Linked DNA regions of Drosophila melanogaster. The protein of the gene in region 2 purifies or fractionates together with the protein of the main gene of each other region. This does not show direct contact. Each region holds a gene or a part of one and is shown on either strand. Other genes may lie near its edges.

Region 1 (3,630 bases), 1.5 Mb from region 2:
TGACACCCAAATTTTCTTTGCATGTATCAAACTGAAAAACCAAATCCCATTCGTATTGATGTCTAAATATGGAAGTTGTTTGTGTAAATGTGTGAACGTAATTCAATAAAGGTTGCCCGATAACTGATTTTGCTTGAATGGGGGGGAGACTTTCTAACTTACCTTATAGAAAACGTCGGGAACATACTGCTTGTCCGTGGATTCACGCACGTAGCCCAGCTCGGGCGCATCCTTAGTGGGTATCAGACAATTATCGCGCACCAGAGCCATGCACTGAGCCGAAACCGCATAGCCTTCCATGTGCACTTGTTTGGTTTTATCTCCTGTAATGTTAAAAACTATTTTGGTACTAGTTCATTAAGCAGTATTAAATCGTGAATCTTACCTGTTACACAAATGGTCACAAACTTAGAGCCGAAGACGCCATTGGAGGCATATTTACACGGATTTGGATGTCGATTCTGCAGCTCGCCAGCTGTGATGCACTCCTGGGCCGTAATAAAGTGCGACTCGATGCCACGGATCTGTTTGACAGTGCCGATACTCGCATCGTCCGTGATGAGATCAGTGAAAATCCAACCAATCTATAAATGTCACAAAAGTCAATACTAATGCTACATAGCTACTGTCTATAACTAACTAACCTTCTTCAGTCCCAGCGCACTGGCTACGGCATCCACATCGTCGGCGAACTCATCCGGCTGAATATTGATCGAATCCCTGGTAGACTCTTGTGGCGGCTCATAAATGGCAGCCACCTTGGCCCGAATGCCCAACGGAACATCAGTGTGCTGCTCGTACGTCCCATACAGATATCCCATGCGCTGGTGTCCTGTGGTGCGCCAGTAGTTGAGGAAGCGCTCCACGATCTTAGTGTTCTCGAACATGACGTTGTCCACGTGGCGATATGTCTGACGATTCAGCGTAATGGCCGACGGCTGGCACTTGGAGCAGATGCCCTTGGGCCATGGTGGATGCTCGCGACATCCCGGCTTGATGCGGCAATTGATGTCGTCGAAGACAAAGTACTTGCCCTGATCCATGCCGGATGTCTGCTTTCGTATGTACGAGTGGAAGGACAAGTGCTTGATATTGTGCTCCTTCAGATAGGACTCATCATAGGGCTCCAGTGCGGAGCAGTGAACGCAACGGCCGTTGGCATTGTGGTGGCACCTACAAAAAGTTATAGGTTGATCAGTTTAATTTTACAATTAATTGTATAATCAAGGCCTACAGCTTGCTATCACGTTCGCGCTTAATGGTGCCATCAGCCTTGCTCAGAGCCTGGTCCACGTCATCTTCGATCACATTGAAGGATGGACGAGCGCTGTTTGGATTGCTAATGGTGCTAGTCTTGAACGCCTGACTGTCCAGGACAGTGGTGCTAGTGCGCTGAGAAGTGGTGAAAAATGCAGGTTAGTCCCCGATCGTTCTGCTCTATATGATCAACTTACGCGCGATGATGTGCCAGCCATCTGTTTTAAGTAGACCATGTCGCCATGCCTCAAGGAAGTCCCCACCAGCTGGGAGCCACTTGCCTGCAGCTCTGTGAGGAAGTTGCGCTCCTTGAAGAGACCAAATCCATCCACCTTCAGGGCATTCTGAACGCTGTCGTACAGATGCTTTAGATTTGACTTGGGCGAGATCTCGATGCGTTTGATGCCCTCCGCCGACTGAACGCGAATTAGCTGGAATTAACAAATGAATAACAGATTCTAATTAGTACTAGGACAGGTGAATTTGGCAATTTCTGATCCAACCGATTGTTTACATAACACAAACAGACGATGGCGCACAAAGGCGTAGGCGAAATTGCGCTTCTTGTAGATGAATTGCTCGAGCAGCAGTGGTGCACAGGCCATTTTCTGGACTTTCTGGACGGGTCACTGGGTGATGGGCGGTTGGGTGGGCTCTTGTGTGGGCGGTGGTGGGTGGTAGATTGGGTAAGGGGGATTGTCAAGTGTAGCTATTAGCTACCAAAGCCTGTAGGGCTTTTTGCTTAGTGTTTCGAACTGTACGTCATGAAGGCGCGAACTTGACTGCGGAAATTTATCTGGCATCGCAATTAAAAACAAATGCAATTCGTTGCCAAAATGAGTGCATAGTTAAAAAGAGAACTAATGCCTGTATATGTAAATTCGGATCTGTAATTGTATGAGCTTTAAATAAAAAATAAAACAGCATTTTGAAAGACAAGCTGCATGCAGTTTTAAAACAAAAAAATTATATTAAATTTGTATTTAAAATTTTAAGTTGTGCTATTTACTGGTATGTGCAGTTTTCTTATTTTACAAAACATATATTTCAAAAATTAATTTTACGCAGAGACATTTTTCTGAGTGTAGCACCCTATCAACCAGAAATTGCTTTATTAGACAGAAATATCCTCAAATGCATTTCCCCCAGGCGGATTGCAGCCAACAATTGTTAATAATTTATTTGGTTTTTGGATCGGTTTTTGGTCTCAAAACCCCCGCACACTCCCCTCAGTCCTACTGCCGCCTAGACTGCACTCTTTCAGTGGAAAATCTACAAGTCATGGTACCATTCAATTTCACCGCCAGCACCTTTGGCCGCATTTCGGGACTTGCAGTGGATTTGCACTGCCGGGAGTGCTTCCAAATGGGTTCATTATGCATTATATGCTTCGCTTTTGCCGGCTGAAATGCACTTTAAATATATTTTCCATACATTTAGGCAACAACAACAAACGCCAGCGAACTGGAAAACCGACATTGTTTGCCGGCTTTTTTGGTGGGTAGCTATAGGGAAACACTTGACCAATTTCACTGCACACACTTCACCAATAAGACATTCGCTTAGTTTCCACCCTAAATGCACTTTTTAATTTTTTATCAACAATTTACTTACAATTTTGTCATTTGGCATTGTAATTTTGTCTCTGTCTCTGTCGCACAGCTGTGGGGATGGCGATAGTCTGCCCAGAGGTGGAGAAAAATCGATTACTCCCGGATATCGATGTCTCTATGATCGGTTTCTTGTCAATTTAAAGCGATTGTTAACCAATCCCAATTAATCGAAAGGTGAGGCGGGCTATTTTAAAAAAGGGAAATTATCTATTAGCTTCAGGTAGACTTTGTGCACATTTATTAATATAGCGGCGTGTTATTCTACAATTAGACAACAATAAACCAATCGCATTCTAGTGGAAGACAGCGTATGAAAGCAGTGGGGGTGATCCCTCCATCGGACTTCAGTCGTACTTGAGGTTGCCCATGCAAATGTACTTGATGTCCACATAGTCGTCGATACCGTGTTTGGAACCCTCCCGTCCGACACCGGACTCCTTGACGCCACCAAACGGAGCCTCTGCTGCGGAGATGATGCCTTCGTTGACGCCGACCATGCCAACCTCCAGTCGCTTGGCCACCCGGAACACCTGCTGCAGATTCTCGCTGTAGAAGTAACCGGCCAGGCCTCTCCTGGTGTCGTTTGCCTTCTTTACCGCTTCTTCTTCGTCTCGGAACCGTATGATGGAGACCACTGGACCAAAGACCTCCTCCGAGTAGAGTTGCGCCGAGGGTGGCACATCTGTGACAATTGTGGGTGCGTAGAAAAGGGATCCCTTGTCGGGCAACGGCTGTCCGCCCAGAATAATGTTCGCCTTCT
Region 2 (3,959 bases):
CCCTTGTATTTGATCAGCTCCTTGATGCGGTCCACGATGAAGAACTCAAAATCATCATCATAGTAGCCAATATCGCCAGTATGCAACCAACCGTCCTTGATGGCGGTCTGCGTGGACTTCGTATCTCCGATGTAGCCCTTCATGATGCCGTCGCCTTTAAAACAAAGCTCGCCGCGCTCGTTGGCCCCCAATAGCTTGCCGGTGTCGGGATCGATCACCTTGGCATAGATTCCCACCTTAAGAACGCCCACACTGCCTGGCTTGCAGAACTCATCGTTCTGCACCAGAACACTCAGCGTTGATTCGCTGAGGCCGTATCCCTGTCGGATGAATGGCACTCCAATACGCTCCTTGATCTGATCCTCAGTTTCGCGACTGAGTGGAGCTGCTCCACACAGCAGGACCATCAAAGAGGACAAATCGTACTTATCCACGATGGGGTGTTTAGCCAAAAAGACCATCAGTGGTGGCACCATGAAGGCCATCATCACGCGATACTTTTCAATGGCAGAAAGGAAGAGCTTTTCCTCGAACTTGGGCAGGTATACCAATCGTGCGCCAACGCAGGCGGTGGTGATAAGCGTCAGACAGCCGAAGGCGTGGAACCAGGGAATGACAGTGAGTAGAGTGACCTCCTCCATTGGAATGACAGTGGGTTGGCTATTAAAGAAAAATCATTTAAAAGAAACGCCTTTATAGCATATTATTAAACTTACATTTGTGAGTCGAGAGTGGCCAGCAGGTTCATTTGGGTCAGCTGCACTCCTTTAGGAAGTCCGGTGGTTCCAGAAGAGCACACAATAAGAGACACGTCCTCGTCCTTATTGGCCGCAGGGCTCGTGAAGTCAGGCTGTGTCTTGAACTTCTCGTCCTCCATCAGCTCCTTAAGATCATAGATGTTCTTAAATTTCTTGGAAGTTCCACTGAGCGCAATGATGCCCTTGACGAACTTATTCTTGCTGGCCACTTTGGCAACACGATCAATGGTAATCTTAGAGGCGAATATGATCTTTGGCTTGGACAAGTTAATGGCGTGGTCCACCTCACGATCGGAATATGTTACGTTAAGGGGAGCAACCGTAGCCCCAACTGCTAGACCAGCGAACATGGCCAGGGCGAAGTTGACGCTGTTTTCGCTAGACAAACCAACGACGTCATTCTGTTTGACTCCCAGTTTTTGAAGGATGTATGCCAGCCGTACAATGGACTTGTGCATGAAACTGGCAGAGTACTCCACTCCATTGACGGCATCCACCAGCACCGTCCGGTCGCCAAAGCTCTTGTACTTGTCGAGGATGTACTGACCCAAGGATCTGCTATCCTGGGCCTGTCGTTCAGTCACAGGACCTCCGTACACAATGTTTCCGGGCAGTAGCTTTGAAGTCATTTTGTGTCTGCAAAGAGAAAGAAACATGATAGTTTTGCATTTTATGATGAGCTATAATGGAAGATAACGAACTGTGGGTTATCTACCAAAAATTATACACGCCTTTGGGGAGTGTGAAGTTTTCCTCGAAAATATTAAAAGAAAAACGGTTCAGGGGTTGAAGTTATAGCAACCCTTCAAACCATACTTTGAACCCCCCGGACTATCTAATCGCATTCGGTTCGCAGATCTTTTACTTGTGCTGAACATGCCATCGATGTTAACAATGTTCCCGCTATCTGAGATAGTGGACTACAGAAAATCTGCATGTTTGCCAGTCCAGGTTCCAAAGGTCGCAGTTCACAGCGGTTGAAGTGGCTTCTTCCAGCTCCCCTGCGGTCTAACATTTAGGCTTTCAAGCGAACACTCGTTAAACCATGTAATGTTTATCTTTTATACCGCTAATATATTCAGTATCATTCAGATAAACTCGTCAATTTACTTATGTACATACGCTAAAGTTTTCTAGGTTACGATGCGAGCGGGAGCGGCTTGCGTGCGAAACTAACTGTTCGTCGGAGAATGGTAGGGCGGAATGTCAGGCTGCGTTTACGGAACGATTAGATTAGCTTATTTGATAACCCCGGCGTTGAAACTGCGCAGGCGCGAGTAGTGTCTCTGACTATTTTTCATTCAAAGTACACCAAAAGTGCAACAAAAAATGGGTCAGGGGATGGTGCTGCTCAAATTTGCAGGAAAAACAAGAGACAGCTGATTCAAATACTTATTCGATAAATTCTTATTGAACTGTCAGCTGACGGTCTGGCAACGCCGTGTGTTTATTTTCATTTAAACGCTCTACACTCCAAATTTTACGGTATATGGGCTTTAAAAATATATTATATTACCTAATTTTTAGAATATTATTAAAAACTAACAAAATTATTTAATTTTAATCCCTTTATTCACATTTAAGGACATCGATAAGAGTGGAAAAAGAGACTTGTTACAATGCAATGATATGGTTAATATATTATTTTATTTATTTACTTATATATTAAGGATTTTTTTTAATATCGTGCCAAAAATGATTTTAACAACTTTACTCTGATCAAATGTAGCGCATTCGTGTGTCGCTTCTGATCGATCTGATCCACTGACGATCTGATTCATGAATGCCTAACACGCATCGGAATGGAGTAATAGCGCAAATATAGGAAAAATGCCAGGGACCAGTACTTAGTTGTTGATATTCTTGGGCGTGGAACAGAGGTAAGTACTACTGACGCAGAGCTGCCTCAAGATAAACGTAATCAGCATGGAATTATCGTTCGCATGGCATTTTAAGAATCAATACATATCTCGCTTATAGGCACCATTAACTAAGGTGACGACGCCCTTCCTCAAGCAATACCATGTCAGTGTCCATTACAAAAAAGTTTTACAAGTTGGATATAAATCGAACGGAATGGGAGATCCCGGATATATACCAGGATCTGCAGCCCGTGGGATCGGGAGCTTACGGACAGGTGTCAAAGGCAGTTGTTCGTGGCACCAATATGCATGTGGCCATTAAAAAGCTTGCCAGGCCTTTTCAATCAGCTGTCCATGCAAAGAGGACGTACCGGGAGCTTCGACTTTTAAAGCATATGGATCATGAGAACGTAATCGGTCTGCTGGACATATTCCATCCACATCCCGCTAATGGATCGCTGGAGAACTTCCAACAGGTGTACTTGGTTACCCACTTGATGGACGCAGATCTGAACAACATCATACGGATGCAGCACTTGTCCGACGACCACGTCCAGTTTTTAGTCTACCAGATACTCCGTGGCTTGAAGTATATCCACAGCGCCGGAGTGATCCACCGTGATCTTAAGCCCTCAAACATTGCCGTCAACGAGGATTGCGAGCTGCGCATTCTAGACTTCGGGCTGGCCCGCCCAACGGAGAACGAGATGACAGGCTATGTGGCCACGCGTTGGTACCGGGCACCTGAAATAATGCTCAATTGGATGCACTACGACCAAACAGTGGACATCTGGTCGGTGGGCTGCATCATGGCCGAACTAATTACCAGACGAACCCTCTTCCCAGGCACCGACCATATTCACCAGCTAAACCTGATTATGGAGATGTTGGGCACGCCACCCGCCGAATTTTTGAAGAAGATCTCATCGGAAAGTGCACGTTCCTACATCCAGTCACTTCCGCCTATGAAGGGACGAAGTTTTAAAAATGTTTTTAAGAACGCCAATCCGCTGGCCATTGATTTGCTGGAAAAGATGTTGGAGCTAGATGCCGAAAAGCGGATCACAGCCGAGGAGGCTCTTTCCCATCCATATCTGGAGAAGTATGCGGAGCCCAGCGTCGAGCAGACCTCACCACCATACGATCACAGCTTCGAGGATATGGATTTGCCCGTAGACAAATGGAAGGAATTGATCTACAAGGAGGTCACCAACTTTAAGCCCCCACCATCGTATGCTCAGGTTCTAAAGGATGTAAAGTGAACACAAACCATCAAGAATTTAAAGTATTACATAGGCCAATTTATTTGTTATAGCCTTTATGTTCCAACCATGTCTTT

What was found. Proteins that work in one complex are often made in the same cells at the same time.
Region 1: the proteins of p38a (region 2) and Npl4 purify together in Drosophila melanogaster (affinity purification with mass spectrometry, with the first as the bait; one large-scale study listed by BioGRID). This does not show direct contact.

The regions. Positions count from the first base shown.
Region 1 is NT_033777.3:25,621,718-25,625,347, forward strand, and holds the start of Npl4 (nuclear protein localization 4), read right to left. Parts: upstream 2,029-3,630; 5' UTR 1,863-2,028; coding exon 1,761-1,862; intron 1,689-1,760; coding exon 1,455-1,688; intron 1,393-1,454; coding exon 1,235-1,392; intron 1,174-1,234; coding exon 645-1,173; intron 585-644; coding exon 386-584; intron 324-385; coding exon 163-323; intron 122-162; exon of another isoform or gene 1-121. Other genes in the region: Ssadh (succinic semialdehyde dehydrogenase), read right to left, coding at 3,215-3,630. UniProt on the Drosophila melanogaster protein: May be part of a complex that binds ubiquitinated proteins and that is necessary for the export of misfolded proteins from the ER to the cytoplasm, where they are degraded by the proteasome.
Region 2 is NT_033777.3:24,150,525-24,154,483, reverse strand, and holds the start of p38a (p38a MAP kinase), read left to right. Parts: upstream 1-2,162; 5' UTR 2,163-2,243; intron 2,244-2,342; 5' UTR 2,343-2,390; intron 2,391-2,487; 5' UTR 2,488-2,638; intron 2,639-2,714; 5' UTR 2,715-2,781; coding exon 2,782-3,882; 3' UTR 3,883-3,959. Other genes in the region: CG6178 (uncharacterized protein), read right to left, coding at 1-660, 717-1,387.